Linked DNA regions of Diceros bicornis minor. The protein of the gene in region 1 purifies or fractionates together with the protein of each later gene. This does not show direct contact. Links are inferred from orthologs where the notes say so. Each region holds a gene or a part of one and is shown in the gene's direction. Other genes may lie near its edges.

Evidence for each region.
Region 2: the proteins of SLC30A4 (region 1) and STX8 purify together in Homo sapiens (co-immunoprecipitation; 3 studies listed by BioGRID and IntAct, with this or other methods). This does not show direct contact. The link is inferred for Diceros bicornis minor from reciprocal best matches to the Homo sapiens genes SLC30A4 and STX8.

The regions. Positions count from the first base shown.
Region 1 is NC_080744.1:42,403,094-42,412,937, reverse strand, and holds the start of SLC30A4 (probable proton-coupled zinc antiporter SLC30A4), read left to right. Parts: upstream 1-5,593; 5' UTR 5,594-5,837; intron 5,838-6,361; 5' UTR 6,362-6,475; coding exon 6,476-6,866; intron 6,867-9,844. UniProt on the Homo sapiens protein: Probable proton-coupled zinc ion antiporter mediating zinc import from cytoplasm potentially into the endocytic compartment. Controls zinc deposition in milk.
Region 2 is NC_080757.1:9,073,210-9,083,707, forward strand, and holds the start of STX8 (syntaxin-8), read left to right. Parts: upstream 1-5,570; 5' UTR 5,571-5,623; coding exon 5,624-5,640; intron 5,641-10,372; coding exon 10,373-10,472; intron 10,473-10,498. Other genes in the region: CFAP52 (cilia- and flagella-associated protein 52), read right to left, coding at 4,708-4,777. UniProt on the Homo sapiens protein: Vesicle trafficking protein that functions in the early secretory pathway, possibly by mediating retrograde transport from cis-Golgi membranes to the ER.

The DNA.
Region 1 (9,844 bases):
ACTGAAAGTCCCATGTCCTGGGAACTCCCTCCATCTCAAGCAAACCGGGACAGTTGGTTATCTGTCAGACAGGTTCTTCCTTTACAATGGGCCTCTTATCCTACTGTTCCCCAGACCTCACCTGGGCCTGCTCCAGAGTGTCTTCTGCCTCAAGCCCACCAGTCAGAATATGCAGATTGGCTCCTTCTGGGTCAGAAGAGGTGACAGCATGGGCTGGGTGGGTCACTGGGGACAGGGTTAGGATCAGAGGAGACCAGGAGATTGAGGAGAAGGGGTTCCCAAGGAACCTCAGCTGTTGGAGTTGGATCAAAGACTCTGGTCTTTTATCTAGAGTCTGTATGTGTTTCTGTGCATACAGTGAGGATTAAACAGTACCTGGTATCAGGAAAAGCTTTCAACATTTACAACGTTTGGAGATAAAGAAGAACTACTAAAGGGAAGCCTGCTTTAAACCCTATTTTCAAGTGGGCAGAATGTGAGTTATTAAAATATAAATAATAAAGAGGAGAGTAAAACTTCATTGGTCAGTATAAAGCAGCTGTAATAATTGTAGTAATTTATATCTAATTACCATGTGGCATAGTGATTACGAGGCATTATTGTGTCAAGTAAATCATACACTAAGATCTTTGTGATTAGGGTACTAAATTCTGCTCAGTCATGTGTGCTCTGGTATTTAGTTTTAAACCATTAAAGATAATTTAGGTTGGCCTAGTCTTGAGTTTTTTGCTGCAGGGAATACAGGGAGTTAAAAGGCAGGCGAACTTGTTACATTTGGTTTTGGAAGGACCAATCTAAAGATACTTTTTAAAAAAAAATTAGTGCCATCTTTATTTATAAAAGAATTCTCAGAAAAACTCAAAGCGCTTTGCAGATTTTAATCTAATTAATCCTTACTATGACCCCAGGAGGGAGTTCTTACACAATGGCCGTCATTGTTTAAAGCCACCAGTTGTCAGAGGCCACAAAAGAGTCACTTTGTCTGCAGTTGCTTCTCTGTCCTGGCTTTATTCATAAAATTTATAATGTTCTTTAAAATAAGTCTAGTATAAATATAAACTGACTATTAGTGTCTTAATAATCTCCATTCCTGGTGAGACACATTAATCTCACCACTAAGAATTTCTTAGAAATGACTTTATACACCAGCTTAAAGAAATAGAAATGTTTGTTAGAGGGGCATTCAAAGTTCTGGATGAACTCTCTACGATTAAAATATTTTCATATATTAATCCACACGTATTTACAGGGCTCCTGCTATGAGTTAGGTGCTATGAACACAAAGACAGCTTAGGATAGAAATAAAGTCGTCATAATAGTAATGTGTATGGTGGTGATCTAGAGGTCTGAGTCAGAACAAGTCGTTAATAAACCAGGGACTGGAGTTGCGCAATGCTAAGAAGGGACAGATACAAGAGGAGGATGCTTGACCACCAACATTTGCCTATACCCTTGGTTTGCATTTGGTTCAGGTGGCATGGTATTTATCTATTTATTTATGTATGTATGTATGTATGTATGTAACATTGGTTATAACATTATATAAATTTCAGGGACACATCATTATATTTCGATTTCTGTGTAGATTACACCATGTTCATCACCCAAAGACTAATTACCATCCATCAGGCATGGTCTTTAATAGCTCTCTTTAGTATGTGGGTAAGAGAATGCTTTCACATACAAAATCTCATTGGATATGAAATAGGTAGCACAAATATTATTTCCCACTTTTCACAGATAAGAAAATGAGCTCCACAATAGTAAAGCTGCTGGGATCATAGTGGATGGATGGTAAAATTAGAAGCTGAAGCAGGTTCTCCAAGTTCTCATGTGAGCTCTTGTCTAAGATGAAGCATTCCCAAAGCACTTCCAAAGTCCACTTTCCACCCTCATCTTCAAACTCGCCAAGTCCAGCCGCCACCTCTAGACTCTAGTGCCGGAGTGCTTATTCCTTAAACTCTGCCCCACGTGGGACCTCCTATTCCTCTGCACATCAGCCAGACATGGTTAGAGAAATCCACAGGAATGTTTATTTTAAAAACAAAGGGAAGACAAATACAAAGGTGTGAAAACAATGCAATTAATCGAGCGCAGGTTTCAGCTCACAGTTTGTTTTGCCCGGCAGGGTAGATGGCCAGAGATCCTCTCCTCTATCCCCTCGCTGTCCAAGTAGGCAACTTACCTGACCTTGGGTATGTCTCTTATCTATTTTGGGTCCTTCCTCTCCTCCCCTGGGGGGGTGTTAAAATGAATCTCCAGCCTCTCTGTTAGCAGAGTATTCATAGAAGGAAGAAGTGATTACACTCACCAGAGTTGTGTATCACATCACTAACCCTCGCCCGTCCACATCCAACAGCTTTCATCCCTTCCTGAAAAAATAAGGGAAGATATTCCAAAAGCATCCTACAGCAACCTCCTACAGCCACATACTCCAACGGAGAAAGGAGTTCTCAGGATGGGGAATATGCAGCATTTGAATCTGTCAACTAAGTAGCACCTTTTCCCGTATTTTGATTTAAACAACTTTCCCACTTTTTTTCCTTCACTTCCAAGGGGGATTTCACAGGATGATACGGAGGTCCCAAGGTGCTGGCAAATCTTTGATATGTGAAACAGGGGTCTCTCCTAGCACACCTCAAGGAGCTGGATGCATTTGTGCAATTCATTCCACTTGTGTGCAGAAAGAAACCAAGGGGACAGTGTAGAGTAATGGTTAAGAGCTGGAGCTCTGAAATCAAACTGCTCTGGAATGGAGTTCCTGCTCTCTTTGCCAGCTGTAGGACCCTGGCCAAGATAGTTACCCTCCCTGAGACTCCATGTCTTCATTTACTTAAAAAATAATAGCTGGCGTTGATTGAGCACACACTCTGTGCTAGGAACTATCTGTGCTAATTTTACACGATTTACATGCATTTTCGCATTTAATCCTTACCACAGCCCTGTGAAGTGGGGACTATTATCATCCCCATTTTATAGGTAAGAAAATTGAAGCACAAAGAGGTTAAATAGTTTGCCAGAGATTGTATGACTGTAAACGAAAACAGGATTCAAACACAGGCAGTCTTCCTCCAAGACCCATGCTTTGAATCGCTACCTTCTTCATAGTGATGTTGTAAGGATTAAACGAGCTCATGAAAGTCAGGTCCCCTGCATAGTGCCTGGCACTTCAACAAGCTTTAGGTAAATGTTAGCTGTAGCATTATTTTTAGCATTGTCATCTGTTCCAAGAGATATCTGGGCCAGGTTTTAACATAGGATATTTTGTGTCTAGTCCAGTTAACTGCCCCAAGGCATGTGTTTTGCAATTGACCTGAAAGGCCTCTGCTCCTACCTAAACAATCTGTGTACTATGGGTTACCTGGTTAAGAGATGGGCTAAATGGCTGGCAATCTGCCCATGTAAAAAAGTTCTTCATACTGGAAAGAAGTATGAAGTGTCTTATAAAAGAATGGCATACTGAGCAATAGCTAGCTGAACTGTAGGCAGTACCCAGATGATAAATGGATTATGTTTCAAAAGTTCATTTGTCTATTGTTATAAACTCTGAATCCATAGAAATAAGGTTGCAAATGGTGGTTACATTCCAAGACTATTCACAGAAGTCTATTTATTTAGCCCATTTTAAAGCTCAATGACAGAAATCAACCCTCTAGCCCAAGGGCAGGCCTAGGCACAAGAGCCCATGTGATAAAAGCAGTAGAAAAGTGTCTTTCCTGGTACAGAGGAAAGTTGATCTAGAGTGTATTTGTTATCTCTTGCTGTGTAAGAAATTGTCCCAAAACTTACCATATTAAGACAATAAACATTATTATCTCACAGTTTCTGTGGGTCATCTGGGAATAGCTTAGCTGGGTGGTTCTGCTCAGGATTTCTCATGAGGTCAAGGTCACCTCACCTAGGCTGCAGTCATTTGAATGCTTAACTGGGGCTGGAGATCCACTTTCAACATGACTCACTCACATGGCTATTGGCAGCAGGCCTCAGTTCTTCATCACATGGGCCCCACCATGTGGCTGCTTGAGTTCCTCATGACGTGGTAGCTCCGGCTTTTCCCAGTGCAAGTGATCCATGAGTGACAACAAGAAGGCAGCTGCAATGCCTTTTATGACCTACTCTTATAGGTCATACACTGTCACTTCTGTCATAGTCTATTCATTATAGGCCATATGCTATTCATTAGGAGCAGCTCACACTCAATAGGAGGGGGAATTAAGCGCCACCTCTTGATGGGAACTGTATCACAGAATTTGTGGACATATCTTAAAATCACCATATAGTTTTTGTTGTCCTCTCATCACTCTCTCCAGGTACCCAGTGACACAAAATAATAAAAATAAATCGAGATTCAGAACTGCAGTCCTTCCCAACAAAGCTTACTGTGAATACCCAAAACAATCCATGCTCTTGCCTCAACTTTTCTTGAAAACATCTATCCTCTTTCCTTAAATGGAATCTTATATGAAGAATTTATACTAAAGAGAGAGCAATCATATTCCCAAAATCTTTGCTTTATTCACTAGTATTTTTCATTAGTAAAATTTCAGGCAGTATAACAAACCGAAATGAAAAACAACAAACAACCTACTGGCAAACCAGGTGGATTAAAATATTTGAGGTTAGGAAAGCAACCCTCAGTAAGCTCTCTCTTTTCAGCTGATAATGACCTGAGTGCCCTGGTTACTGAATATTCTGGGTCTTGAGAACCATGGGATCCCTGATCTAGGTTTCCTAACCTGACTTCCCTGGCTGCAGCTCTGTAGGAATATGGTGGGCATTCAAAAGTGAGGGACTGCCCTGGAGTCCAAAAGCAATTGGTGCTCTAGTACCTGAGGTGTGCAAGATTCTCAAGTGATATCTTAATCTTCAGAGGAAAATGATGTTTCGTATGACTTTTTATTATATTCTTTTTGTGTTTTTTAACTTGAAATTTGGTAATCCACGTAGACTGTTGTCAAAATACAACATTTATATAAATTGGATAAATAGGAGTTTGCAGGCAATTCAACTCCAAGTATGAGCTAGGGACTTGATCTATGAGTTCTCCTGAGTGGTGTTGTTTTAAATCTCATTTGAGTCTTAAACCCATTAGAGAATATGATGAAAGCTAAAGAACTTATTCAAGAAAACACATATACCCACAAAATTTTGCACATAAATTTAAGGCCTCCTGAATCCCCTAAAACCTATCCAGGGAATCTGGATTAAGAATCTCTAAGACTTTCACGGGAGAAGGGGTGGGGGGAAGCTTACTGCCATTCCATTTTGCCATTAAAATTTAGATCCTAATCAGAAGCTACTATTCAGAACTTAATTCTTTTTAAATTTTTTGTGCTTGTTGTTGCTGTTAGCACCAAAGGCCAGAAAAGAAACCTCTAGTAGATTTTCTGTGGTTGCGGTTAGTGCATATCGTAAATACCTTGGAGGCAAAAGGAACGTGGCAGTGAGCACAAAAAGGAAACACATTTGCTGAAAAACAATAGTAATTATAAAGCAGGACACAGAACTGCTGAGGACCATAAGCCCTGCCCTCTCCAAGTGGACCTGACCGTGCAGCAAATTTTGCCAACTTGCCAGAGAGGCAGCAACTGCTTCGCTTCCCACTTGGCAAGAAAGCGCTAAATTCGTTTTCTTCCGAGCATCCGCAACCAAGATCCCAACCCAACATTCCCGCGGCCTTCCGTCGGTGGAGCAAACTCCCGGCAGCAACGCCCAGCCCCGGGCGGGATCGTTCGAATTTGCCCACTTCGCCCGCGGACCCCGGCTCCATCCCCACATGCCTCCCAGCCTGGGGAAGAGGAAGGGGAAGGGCCGAGCCGGAGAGTGGGGCTTGGTCTGTGAGTGTCCCTCGGCAGAGCCGGGTGCGCGGGGCCGGGCAGCCAGGACCTGGGCGAAGGGCGGGGGTCCCGGCGCGCGCCCCTGACCCGCCCCCCGCGGGCGCCCCAGCCTCGCGCTACGGGCCTGCGTGTCCTCGCGCCGACCCCTCCCTCGCGCGCCTCGCCCGCGGCCGCTCCGGCGCACGCGCGCGGCCTCGCGCAGGGCGGGGAGAGGCGGCGGCTGCGGGCCCCCGGCCGCGAAGCTGTCAGATCCGGGGAGCCCGGCTGCGGCTGCCGGCGCGGCAGGCGGGAGGACGGCCCAGCTCCCCGCCGCCCCGGGCCGAGCTGGGCGAGCCCGCCCGCCGAGCCGGCCGGGAGCGGGGAGATGAGCGGCGGCCCCGCGGCAGCGCCCCAGGCAGACGCGCCGCCCCCTCGCGGAGCCCCGGCGCCTCCGGGCCGGCCCTGCGCCCCCGCCGCCCGGGGCTTCGGAACTTGCGGGCACTGTTGGGGCGCGTTTAATTTATAACGTGCTTCGTGTTCCACAGGATGGGGAGGGACGCGCGGCAGTGTCATCGGGAACTGGCGGCCCGGTGAAGCAGGAGCCGCCGGCAGTCCGCCTGCACCCAGCCGTTCCGCGCCGCGGCCGCTCAGCCTCTGCCATGGCCGGATCCGGCGCGTGGAAGCGCCTCAAATCTCTGCTGAGGAAGGATGATGCGCCGCTGTTCTTAAATGACACCAGCGCCTTTGACTTCTCGGACGAGGTGGGGGACGAGGGGCTTTCTCGGTTTAACAAACTTCGAGTCGTGGTGGCCGATGATGGTTCTGAAACCCCGGAAAGGCCTATTAACGGGGCGCACCCGGCCCTCCAGGCCGACGACGACTCCTTACTGGACCAGGACCTTCCTTTGACCAACAGTCAGCTGAGTTTGAAGGTGGACCCCTGTGACAACTGCAGCAAACAGAGAGAGTTACTGAAGCAGAGAAAGGCGAAAACCAGATTGAGCATTGCTGCCGTTCTTTACTTGCTTTTCATGATTGGAGAACTTGTAGGTGAGTTGTGTTGCCAACTCACTTTCCGTTTACCTTGCCTGGAGAGCCTTTGTCAAGCTTTAGTTACACATGATTTGAGGTTTAAACTTTCTTTTCAGGAATCTTGCTATTTATCAAGATACTGATCTCGTGATGTGAAAAAGGCCTCATGGTTCCAAAGTGCAGATCAACCTAAGTAGGACATAAACTTCCAGAGATAACTTTGACTTTTTCTTCTAGTTCTCCAAACACTGTGTCACCTACTGTAAAGTTAAGGACATTATCTTCATTGTATATCATGTAACTTCCTCTTTTTAAAAAAAATTCTGATAAAACACCAGGTTAATTTTTGCAACGTTTAAAATAGTAAATTGTTCTAAAATTAATTAGAATCATAAAATTTTGCAGTATGAAGGGACCTTACGGAAAACCTGCTCCACTTTTTTTTTTCACACGTAGGGAATCGGAGGGCCCAGAGAGGTTAAATAAGTTATGAGGACACTTACCTGGTTAATGGAAAAGCCATATCTACAGTCTCAATCTCCTGCTTTTTTCCCTCTACATTTGACTTAAATGGTCTTTTTATACTATTTCCGTTTGTATTTATATCCAAGAGATTTGCCAAATTGAATACTACCAACTAACCTGAACGTTTTTCATTAAAAGGAGGATCTGAAAGGAACCAGAGGGCTCCCCTAGGGTATATGAACTTGGTTTTATTTTCTGTTTTTTAGTTATTCAAGTAGAACATTCTCACTATAATATACCTTCTTAGAGATTAATTTCACAGTCACATTAGCGTAACTGCTAACTTCTCTTAGGGACAGTTTACAAAGTGACATTAAAGCAGGGCGATTATTCTCCCATGTTGTCTCAATGATGAACCACGATGAGAACAGAGGTGGCAGTCTAGATTTAAGATGCTGGCTGGAGGTTATATGCAGGAAAATTATATACTTTTCCTACCTCATTTTACACCAGTGCTCCCTTCAGCCGTGCTGGCCTTCTTTCTCCCTACGACTCACAAAGCTCCTTGCTGCCCATAAGCCCTTCAACCTATCTGGTCCCTCTACCTCAGTAGCTTTCAAACTTTTTTGACCTCACAAAAGTAAGAATACACTTAGCATTGTGACTCGTGCAGGCATGCGTGCATATGTATGTACACACATATACACATATGTATGAATATATATATAACTAAAACAAAGTTTTATTTCATGCGATGTGTTCCAATATTTTTTCAATTGTAGTCCCAGCCTACTTAATTGGTTTCATGGTCCACAAATAGGTCGGGCCTGCAGTTTGAAAAACGCTGCTTTACATGGACTGCCTTTTCCCAAATCTCTTGACTGGTTTCTTGTCATTCATATGTCATCTCAAAAGATACCTCTGAGACTGACTAAAGTAAACCTCTCTTCCCTGTTTCTGCCCCAACTTTAAAAGCCCTCAGCATCTGAGATTATCTTGTTTGTATATTCACTTGTTTAATATCTGTCTTCCTCCACTGAAATTTAATAAGCTGAATTTCCAGCTTATTAGAACAATGACTGGCACAGAGTAGACACTCAGTAAATTTTTGTTGAATTAATTTTTGTTGTGTTAGAGAATTATAAATGCTTAGAGAATTATAAATGCTTAAGCTATAAACAAATTAAAAGATGGGAGTAAAGCTGTGGCCAGGTAAGACATCGTCTCAGCATACTAAGAGTCAATGATTTGCCCAGATTCACACAGCTAGAATATATAGTCATTCAGACTTTGTGATTCTTGAAGTTAATATTTAATATTTGAATTTAAAAATCACATTAAACACAATTTTCCCCCTTAAAATTAATTTAGAGTTTGTTTCGCCTAAGTAAAAATTGTTAAATACGATTGTCCTGACTTACCATTTTTGAAGTCTCTTATTTGGTAAATGTTGTTTTGTGAAAGCCACAATAAGTGTTCCTTTTCAAATATGAAAATCTTTTGTTAAACAATACAGAGATGCTAGTATGTAGGATAGGCATTAACAATACTATTCAGAATGTTATATAGAATTGTATACAGTAGAGCATTTATTAACGTACGTTCAAAGCACCTAGAAATAAAGCATCTTATGTAGGAAGTATGGAGTAATAAAAACATGAATTTAAAGATCTAAAAGAGGAAACTCGATTTTGAATCTTGGCTTTGCCACTAACTTGCTCATTATACAAGGTCCATTCTTATCTTCCTTCCACTCAGCAAGTATTTTTTGAGTACTTACTGTATGCCAAGCACTGTGCTACGTGTTCTCGATATATTATGGTGAACAAAACTGTTATGATCCCTAATATCGGAAGCATTTAATTTAATGAAAGAGACAGATGTTAAATAAACACAAGTAAATTTAAAATTCAAATGGTCTTAAGTGCAATGAAGAAAAAGAACAAGGTACTTATAAGACATAGTAACCAGTGAGACAAAGTTTATTTATGAGCCAGGTACAGTTAAACGGAAAAAAGATAGTAGGAGTTATTCAAGCAAAGGAAGTGGAGGAGTTTTCCAAGTGAAGAGAACATCATGTACGAAGGTCCTAAAACTTTTAGTTCTTTAAAAGGAACTAAAAAGAAGGCCAGTTTGGCTGGAATGTAGTGAGCAAGCAGGAAAGAGGCAGGGGGACCAGATCAGGCAGACCATATTATTATGAGTGTAGTTTTTATTGTAACTATGATGGGAAGCCAGTGAAGTCTTTTAAGCAGAGAGTGACATGATGGGCTTTAGGTTTTTAACAGATTACTCTGGTTCTTATGTGAAGAATGAATTGGAGGGTGCACGAATGGAAGCAAGTAAACTACTGCAGAGGTCCAGACAAGAAATGATTATGGCTTGGACTAGAGTGGATGGAGAAAAATGTAGTGATTGAGAAGCATTCCAGACGTAACATTGACAATATTGGCTAATGGTTTGGATGTAGGGGTTGATGGGAGAGCAGTGTCAGGAATGCTTCTGAAGTTTCTCACCTAAGCAGCTCAGTG
Region 2 (10,498 bases), on another chromosome or scaffold:
TGCAGCTCTTCTTTACTCACTTCAACAGAATATGGTTTGACTTCATCATTTTCTTTTACATCTAGATGAAAGTTTAAAAGCAGCGTTTGTAACGTAGCAATCTTGCCACTAAAAAGTGCAAGCTTTAACTGCCAATCAAAATCTTATAGCCAGGCAGAGGAAATATCAACTATTTCTTCTGACAGACCCTGACTGACTTTATTTTTTTTTTCTACTTTTCAAGCATTTCATGATAGCCTCTTGATGAAATGAATTCAACTGATTCAATTGCTGAACTATCTCTTCATCAGATAACTTTTTTCCAACTATGGCTTTGAAAAATTTGGTAATATCTTCTAGAACATGCATCCGTTCTGTTGAATCCCAAACACTGTGATAATCCTGGTAGAGAGGATAAGTTCGACCACAAATGCCATCAATTATTTTGTGAAGAAGCTGTAGGCGCAGCTTGGCTGGAAGCTTCTGCAGTCGCCACAAGGGCGTCCCCTCTTCTAAGCCAATTTCTTACCAATGAATATTTGGGTTTCCTCCAATATTTGGGATATTATACACAATACCACAGTGAATCCCACTGTTTATAATTTTTTGAAGACTTGAATAAGTGACTCGAGTTCTAAAAAGCTCAAAGATTATTTTCATTAAAAATTGTAAGAGACACTACAAAGCTGTCTTTCAGAAAAGTTGTAAAATTTATACTCCTGGCAATAGTAATTGAGAACCATTTCTTATTCTCACCTTACTATTATCCATATTTTTAGCTTTTACTAATCTGAGAAATTAAAAAAAAGTCATTGTTTTAATAGCATTTTTTAAAGCGTTTTGAGCTAGTAGCCATTTATATTTCTTTCATTTATATTTCTTTACCCATTATCTATTTCAGGGATCAGCAAAGATTTTCTATAAAGGGCCAGATAGTAAATATTTTAGGCTTCGTGGACCACAGCTACTCAAGTCTGTTATTGTAGTGTAAAAGCAGCCATAGACAATACATAGACAAATGCACATGGCTGGGTTCCAATAAACTTTATTTACAAAAACAGGCAGAGGCCTAGATTTGGCCCACTGGCTATAAGGTGCCAAATCCTGATCTATTTTGTTATTGCTGCTGATTTTAGTTTAAGAACTCTTTGTATAATTGGAAAATCATGGGCTTATCTACTCCAGTCAATTGAAGAATGTGACTGTTGTGTCAATACCAAACTCTTAATGACTATAGCTTTATAAAATGTTTTCATAAGCAACACTACTATATCTGGTTTGCTTAAATAATAAATTCCTGTCAAAATACAATGCCTAGAAGAGTCAAGTGCAGTTACATATTTACACCCTCATTAAAATTCATAAACTATCATGTAACTCTACAATGAGTTTTAGCAGCACAATGATAAAAAAGGCTTTGCTTTTGCTTCTAATTTGTTTCTGTGTGAAAGCAAAACTCAATTACCTTGCGTTTAAGGCCTCCACAATCTAATCTCAGGCTCTCTTTGCTGTGTTATCTGGTCAGTCCTTGATACTTAAGCCACACCAGGCTTTTTGCTATTCCCCAACCAGGCACCACACTCTCCACCTTCCTCCTTTGCTCACCCTATTCCTGCTATCTGGAATATTCTGCCTCTCAGTCTTTACTCACTGACTCCTACTCAACTTTAAAGACTATTTGAATTAACTCCTCCTTGACTTCACTCAAGCCTAGAATAGAATCTTTCTCCCAAGCTTTCATAAAGCTTTGCTTATTTGTTTTTGAGAGGTAGTATAGACTTTTTAAGTAAACAGTTTTCATTGAAGACAAAAATACAGAAAACTCAATAACTTTACCAAGTAAATACACCTATTTAACTATAGCCCAAGTCAAGGAGTAGATTATTACCACCCCCCAGACGTCCCCCATGTGCCTTCTCCCAGTCTACATCTCCCCAAAGGTAATCACTGTTTTGATTTCTATTCCTGTAAATTAATTTTCCTCATTTTAGAACTTTAAATGAATGGAATTATACAGTATGTATTCTTTTTCTTCTGGCTTTTTTCATTCAACATTATGATTGTGAGCTCTATCCATGTTGTGTGTAGCTGTAGTTAATTCTTTTTCATTGCTGCAGAGTAGTCTGTTGTATGAATAGACCACAATTTATTTGTCCTTTCTACTTTTCTTTTTTTTTTTTTTTTTGTGAGGAGATCAGCCCTGAGCTAACATCCGCCAATCCTCCTCTTTTTTTTTTGCTGAGGAAGACGGCCCTGGGCTAACATCGGTGCCCATCTTCCTCCACCTTATATGGGACGCCGCCACAGCATGGCTTACCAAGCAGTGCGTCGGTGCGCGCCCGGGATCCGAACCAGTGAACCCCGGGCCGCCGCAGCGGAGCGCGCGCACTTAACCGCTTGCGCCACCGGGCCGGCCCCTGTCCTTTCTACTTTTTTTTTTTTTTTTTTTTTTTGTGAGGAGATCAGCCCTGAGCTAACATCCGCCAATCCTCCTCTTTTTTTGCTGAGGAAGACGGCCCTGGGCTAACATCGGTGCCTATCTTCCTCCACTTTATATGGGACGCCGCCACAGCATGGCTTACCAAGCAGTACTTCGGTGCGCGCCCGGGATCCGAACCAGCGAACCCCGGGCCGCCGCAGCGGAGCGCGCGCACCCAACCGCTTGCGCCACTGGGCCGGCCCCCCTTTCTACTTTTGATGGACATTTTCATTGTAGTTTTTAGCTATTTGAAATTATGCTACTATAAATATTCCCATATATTTTTTTTTTGGTACACATTTCTGTTGTGTATAATATGGCCTTTGGAGGATACATCAAAAGTCTTTAAGATGTACTCAGAATTTGACCTAAGGAAAAAAGGTAGAGTTAAAAGATTTAGCTGTGCAGATGTTCTTTGTAGCATTTAAAAATAAATGGAAAAAATGGAAATTATCCTAAATGCTTAATAACAGGGCATTGTTTAAATAAATTATGACATCTGTGCAACAGAATATCATATTAAAATATATTAAAAATTATGGGACAGAGTATATTTACTGCCAAGGAAAGATTTACATGACATACTGTTAAGTGGAAAAAAAGTTCGATTACAAGATAATATATACAGCATAAGTTTGTTTTTATTAAAAAAATATATTTATATGTAAGTGTATATTTGAAAGGATCACACCAAAAGTTTAACTGTGATATCTTTGGGAAATGTAATGATGGCTGATTTTTCTTTTGGTTTCACTGTATTTTTTCAATTTTCTAAACTCCTCTTCTTAAGTATGGCTATGGATTTATCCCTGTATTCACAGTGCATAGCATACTACTTGGCATATAGTGGTTCTAAATAAATGTATATTTGATTATACAAAAGAATATAAATTGTCACAAAATGAAGGTAAAAACAATTCAATTTGGGCCATTCTAAAAGGCCAAGATGGGCCGGCCCCATGGCTTAGCGGTTAAGTGCACACACTCCGCTGCTGGCGGCCCGGGTTTGAATCCCGGGCGCGTACTGACTCACTGCTTCTCTGGCCATGCTGAGGCCGCGTCCCACATACAGCAAGACGTGCAGCTATGACATACAACTATCTACTGGGGCTTTGGGGGAAAAAATAAATAAATAAAGTTAAAAAAATAAAAAATAAAGGCGTATGCTTTTAAAAAAAATAATAAAAGGCCAAGATAAGTAGTAATTGTCAAGGAAGACATCCGGATGGAAGTGACCACATATTTACTCTCAGAGCTCCACCAAACAGCATGAATTCAGTCGCAGAGCTCTATGCGGGAGCCTTTACACTAGTCCCCAGCGTGGCCCTTTGCACTAACTGCACTCAGATCCTTTACCAACGATCTTGTAACCGGCTCTAAAGGTGGCTGATCTCTCAGATGTACTAAGTGCCCACTGTCAATTAGAGACATCAAGGTAAAATGAAGAGCCAAGTCCTAGAATGTGCTTAAAATTTGTCATTGATTGTTCTGTATCTACATTATTACAATTTTAAAGCTTTCAGGCATCACAATGTACTTTTAAAAAAAGGTTTGCTTTTTCTAAAATGTAACCAATTGCTTGTTTTCATCCTTCACAAAAAGCCAAACAGCATTTTCCCCCTTAACGTTCAAAACCACAAGCAGTCATAAATAAGATTTGAGCAGATCCGCCAGGCATCCTCTGACCAAAGTATCTCTCTCCTCCAGCTCCCCCTGGCGTCCTCTTCGCCTTCTATCGTGGTCTGAAATGCTCACCATTAGAATCCTTCCTTCGGTTTAGAGGACAAGATTACCCTCTAAAGCGGTCCCTCCCCAGCCCTTTCTCAGTACATCAGCTGGGATTTTAGAAGTTAGTTGGTCCCGGGGGCCGACACGGACTCTGTAATCCGGTGGTTACGGAAGGGCAGGCAGCTTTGCGGGCTGCATGGGGCTTAGAGCCAGGGAGGGCTGACCTAGTGGGAGAAGGGTTACAACTATCCTTTCTTTCTGGCCCGGCGAAGAGGAATTTGGTTTCTTTTAGGTGACGGCAAAAACCATCCCCCTTCTTGAGGCTTGGAGCAAGGAAGTGACTCTCTATGGCCTTTGGACAGGAGAGGCTGGCTGGGGCCCTGGCGGTTGGCCCTGGCCAGGGCTCATGCCAGGGTCTCACACTGCCTTCCAGGTGCCACCTGGTGTCTCACTGTTCCTGTTGGCACTACACGTCCCCGGGTTTGCTAAACCACCCAGTCCAGACATGCTCGAGGCCTCACCGTTGAAGCCAATCACAGCCTCAAGCTCCAGCTCCGCCACCTCGGCTTTGGGCGAAATTTGGTTCTCCATCACCCGGACACTCGGCTCACTTTCCTCCCAGCCTCCGACGATGGAGCGTCTTTTGGTCGTTATGGTAACAGACGTACGCATGCGCGCCAGATCCCCGCCCGCGCTGAAACCCATTCTGCGGAGTTGGTCTTTTACTCTCTCGGAAACGAGAAGAGGGCTTCTTTTTCCTTTCTATCGCTCTGGAAATTTAGGGGGCACTAAATGCACAGAACTAATTCCCTCCTCCCTAAATAAAGAGTCTGTGACCTTTTTGGTACCTATATAATCAAGCACCTAATGGCATCTAAAAATTAATCAAACATGGTGGATTGCCTTTGATGGGAAGGCTGCTATAAAATAGTATGTAATTGCTACTTCTTTGGGTCCCTTGTTCGAAGCAGGATAAAACAAATTTTTTAAAGCTTTATTGAGGTATAATTTACATATCATAAAATTCACTTAAAGTGAGTTTTAGTAAATTTATACATTTGTACATCTATGACAACCAGTTTTTTGTTTGTTTATTTTTGTTATTGTTTCAAGCAGGAGAAAATTTTAAGTAACTGCTAGAGGTCTTGAGGCGCTCCCCCGTTTCCGGGAAAATGCTTAGATTTTGTTCAACAACAATTTTATTTTAATTGCGCCCAGCTGTTGGCATCTCGGCGGGAGCAGAATGCTCCAACCTACTGTTCCCTGGGTCAGCGCTTTCCTTTCTTCATCAGAGCTTTGAGGCCCTAGTGTAGATTCCCTTCGCAAACTCCAGGTTTCGGTCGCGCACGGGTGGAACCGCGGAGTATGAGCCGCGCGAGCCGCCGTAGTCAGCTGCTGCGAGCAGGAAGTGTCCGAGGAGCGGGCGGAGACTGCACAATGGCCCCGGACCCCTGGTGAGCCCCGGGTGGGGGCGGCCGCGCGGAGAGTCTGTGGGGGGAGGCCGGGCTTCTGGGGAGCGGGCGACCGCTAGGCGTTCGGTCTGGAGGTCATTCGGGATGAGAGGAGGGGCAGCGAGGACCCTTCCTCAGCTGAGGGGGACTCTGCCGCATTCTGCCACCCTCGGTCCTTGCGGGGTGGCCCAGGAGGGAGACCGAGTAGACCCGTGGGGAGCTGAGGAATGGTGTCGAATCTCTGAACATTCCTTTAGCCCTTCCCGGCTGCACCTTGCCGCGGAGATTTCCCGCCCATCCTGGTTGTGGAGCTGGCGGTGCAGGCTTCCCTGGACTCCTGTGAAAGGGAAGTCGAAGTAACCTTTTTGTGCAGTGCCAGTCCATCTGGGGAACCCCCTTATTTCACAGGTGGAGAAACGGAGGTTCAGAATCCCTGGTCACCAGCCAGTTAGTAACCAGTTGGCGCTAGGACCTAGAACTTGTGGGCCCTTCAAAAAACTTCTAGGAATATCAGAGGGAAATTATGCATTTGTTTTTAAGGCATTTTACCGTTATCTGAGTCAGTATCATGAGGACTGTTTCTATGGCAGCAACTTTTGCAGTAAAACAGTAGCTGATAGCGGTCCTTTATTCATCAGTTAAGTCCCAGGGACTGAGTGATGACAGACACTGTCTGTCATAATTAAAAACATATTCTAGCTCTGTAAAGTTCTTGTACTATATGCCTCATGTTGGTACTTCTCATATAGTTTATAATTGTTTAAGTGGCAGACAGTCTGGATAGTAGGAGAATGGATTGCAAGATCAAAGTTAGCACCCCTGGGATTTAGGTTATCTGGGCAGGTAGCTTACTTCATTTAACACTAATTTTTTTCCACCTTATTTTAACACCCTGATGGAAAATTTAGAAAATACTGAATATTTGCAGAGAAAACAATAAATTTAACTCAGTCATTTGGAATAATAGCCATTATTGATTTTTTTAAATGAACTTATTGCTTTATATATGTGTGTGTATATGTATATAAACACTCATATGTTTTACAAAACAGGGAACATTTCTCCCTATCACTAAATATTCACTCTAAACATTATTTTTTATAGTGCATCATATGAATGACCATAATTTAATTATTCCCCGCTTTGTACCTTTTTTTAATATTAGGGATTTGTTTATGTTTTTTTAATATTGCAGAGATTGCCCCTTTGTTTTGTGTCTTATTTCCTTGGCTCACTTCTTAGAAGTGGAACTCTTGGGCCCAAGGGTATGAACATTTTTAAGGCCCTGGATACATGTTGCTAAGTTGCCCTCCACCTCCTGGAAGCTAACTCCCTCACTTTACACATAAGGTAGGAAATAAAGCTCAGAAATAAGTTAGAGGCCCCAGGTTATCCATATAGCTTGGCAGAAGCTATCACTGGACCCCAGGCCTCTTCCACAGTGAGTTTTGAAAAGGCATTTATAATTTTTCCTGTTACTCTCAAGTAGTTTGAATTAGTGGCTTTCTCATTTGTTGAAAGTGAAACAGTGGGGGAACTCTGCTGTGCTAGCGTCAGCTTCTTTGCCAAGTAGGTTGCTGATCAGCAGGGTAGAAAGGAGTATGGAATGGGACTTGGAAAAACCTATAGAAACAGACTTGACTACAGCTTTGCCTTCCTGCTGTTGAAAATCATCGGTCAATGATGCTTTACTCCTGTGTAGTGTTCTAAAGTTGAGAAGTGAAATGTAGCAGTTACTATTTTAATGGCATATCAAAGCAAGTAGTAAGCTCACTGTTTAATAGAAGTAGCGAGTAATTACTGTCTAAACTGGTTCTTTGCTCAAGTTAATCAGCTTTACTGCTAGGGCAACTTATTTGTTGATGATACACCATTTCTGGAAAAATTATATTCTAGTTGGCTTTTTTTTGGTCTATTATTTAAAAGTTTTGTTATGAAAGATAAAAAATATATGTGGAATAGTATAATGAGCCCCTTTATACTCATCACTCAATTTCTGTAATTATCAATATTCTGCCATTCTTGTTTCATCTCTGCTCTCCACACTTTTTTTTTTCCTGTGTCTTTTAAAGTAAATCTTATACATATATCAATTTAACTGTATATTCAGTGCTTTTCTGATAGAACAGAGGCCCAGTTCTTAGTCTAGAAACTTCTTTTAGTTTCCCCATTCTAGTTCCTTGGTCTCTGTCATGGCATCACCATCCTCTTAGTCACTTAGGCCTGAAAACACTAATTACCCACTTTTCCTTCACTCCTCATATCAGATTTTTCACTAATGCCCTTTTTTTTTTTTTTTAAGTATCTCTTGACATCTTTTTTTTGCTGTCTTTTTCTGCCATAGTTCAATCCTTTATAGCCCTATGCCTTGCAGATAGTAAATACTGGTGACTGGTTATAGAATTGAATAGCTGGAGAAGTCATCTACTGATCTCTTGCCACTCTTCTCTCCTTCCCAACTGTTTACCTAAATGGAGTTCAGGTTAATTTTCCTAAACTAGTACTTTAGGCACTGTGTTCTTGATACCTTGATGAAGTTGCCCGTTAACACTTGGCCAGTGGTTCCCAAACTTCGCTACAGATTGGAATTACCTGGGGAGCTTTCCCAACTCCTCATGTCCAGGTCAAACCCCATACCAATTTAATCAGAATGCTTGGGGGTGGGAGCCAGGAATTGTGTTTGTTTTTGTTTTGTAGTGATTCCCCAGTTATTCCAGAATGTAGCAAGGTTTCAGAACCACTTTTTTAGGGCTAAAGTGAGAACATGAGGATCAGTGGCAAGACACCTGAGATTTTGCCCGTCAGCATATCACCTCTTCAAGGCCTCACTTTATGCTCTACATACAGCTCTAAAATTCTCTTATAAGTCTAATCTTATTAGGTTGGTGTTTAAGGCTCTGCAGAAACTAGCTTCGACTCATCTTTACCATTTTATGCTTTACCCTCCCACCACCACTGAGGGCCGCCACTCAGCCGAGTGTGCCAGGCACATTTTGTTCCTTCCATCTTTGCTCCTTGTGCTTGCACATTTGCCACATCTAGAATGCTCTCCTCCCTCCTGTTGGAACGAGAGGCCTGCTTTAACCTGGTGCCTCAGCCCAAGATGTAACCTCTTGGCCCAGCCCTGTCAGATCTGAGTGCCTCGGCCAACGGTAATTTCTCTCACTTCCGAACTCCGGAAATACTTACCATTTATACCCCACATTTGACCCCACAATTGTACTTCTCACTGATTTTCATATTTACAGTCTGGAACCACAGAACCAGACCTAAGCTCCTCTTTTCATAGGTGCCAATATGGAGGAGAAAAGGGGGAAATGTAAAGCTGGGACCAGGACCCAACTGTCCTTATCAGCTTCCCTCCTGTTTTCTTAATGATGTGTTATTTTGTATCACCTGCCCGTTTTTTGTATACAGGAATGATGCTTTTTTAGAGTATAGTGGTGAGTGGTTAAAGATCCAATTTGTAGGATCCTTACGAAGTTTAAAATGTAAAGCTCTTAGCGTAGGACCTGGCCCAGATCAGGTACTCAGCTGTCAGCCATTGCTATATTTCTATAATAAGATTCCTATGGGAAGCAATTGGGATTGTTTTTTCCTTCATTCAAACAGACATTTTCAAGTTCCCTGGGTATATAAGTGATATGTGGGCGTTTGAAGATTTTAAGAAATGGATTATTTATTTTGTCAAGCAAAAATTGGGATATTAGGTCAAACAGCAGTTGTCAATATTTTGTACTGGGACAGTCCTGGAAAATATGTTGGTTGTATAGTACAGCATAGCCCCTGTTCTTTAGGAGCAGACCATCTGGTAGGAGAGATGAAATGTGTTTGCACACTTAAGTATTTTCTGTAAAACAAATAGAAAGTAAAAAGGCTGTAACAGAAGGAAAAAATAAGGGACTATTGGGAATTCATTGTGAATCCTTCGAAGCCCCCAGCACTGTTGAATAACACATAGAAGCTCAGTAAATGTTTTGAGAGAGTTCTGATAAGCTTAGATGTCAGGTGGCTGTGTGTCCTTTGTCCCCAGAGCATTGTGTTATAGGATAAACAGCACTGGCTGTTCCTGTACTGTAAAGTTCTTCCCCAGATATCTGGAGGGCTAGCTTCCACACCTTGCCGGTCACTCTGTCTTTATCCCGCTTTATTTTTCTTCTTAGCACATATCAACACCTGACATATTATATATTTATTTGTTTTATGCCTTTCTCCCTTCACTAAGCTCCTTGAAAGCAGGCACTTTGTCCATTTTGTTCACTCCTATATTCTCCAGTGCTTGGAACAGAGCTCAGTACAGAGGAGGGCCTCCGTAAATGTTTGTTGGATGTTTTATGCATGAACAGATACAAACGCTTTATCATCAGCAGAATAGCAAAGTGGTTAGGAGCACAGGCTTGGGGCCAGACAACCTTGGTTTGTAGCTGGCGGTACCACTTGGGCAAGTTGCTTTACTTCTTTTTGCCTCCTTTTCTCACGTGTAAGATGGAGATAGTAATGGTACCTGCCTCCTAGCGTTTTTGTGTGGATTAAGTGAGTTATTACAAATGAAGCATTCAGAATAGAGCCTGGTTGGTAGTAAGTACCATTCAACACCTGTTGCCATTACTGTTACTCTTATTATTCTCCCTTCCGTTTAAATTTGTGACTAGAATTAAAAGCTCAAACTTAGATAATGCAGAAATTTCTTTTGAAGAACCTTAGACGTTTTTCTCGCTTTATGACTTTGATACAGGTTCTCTACATATGATTCTACTTGTCAAATTGCACAAGAGATTGCTGAGAAAATTCAACAGCGAAATCAGTATGAAAGAAATGGTGAAAACACAACGAAGGTACGACCAGGAGAGAATTAGTACAT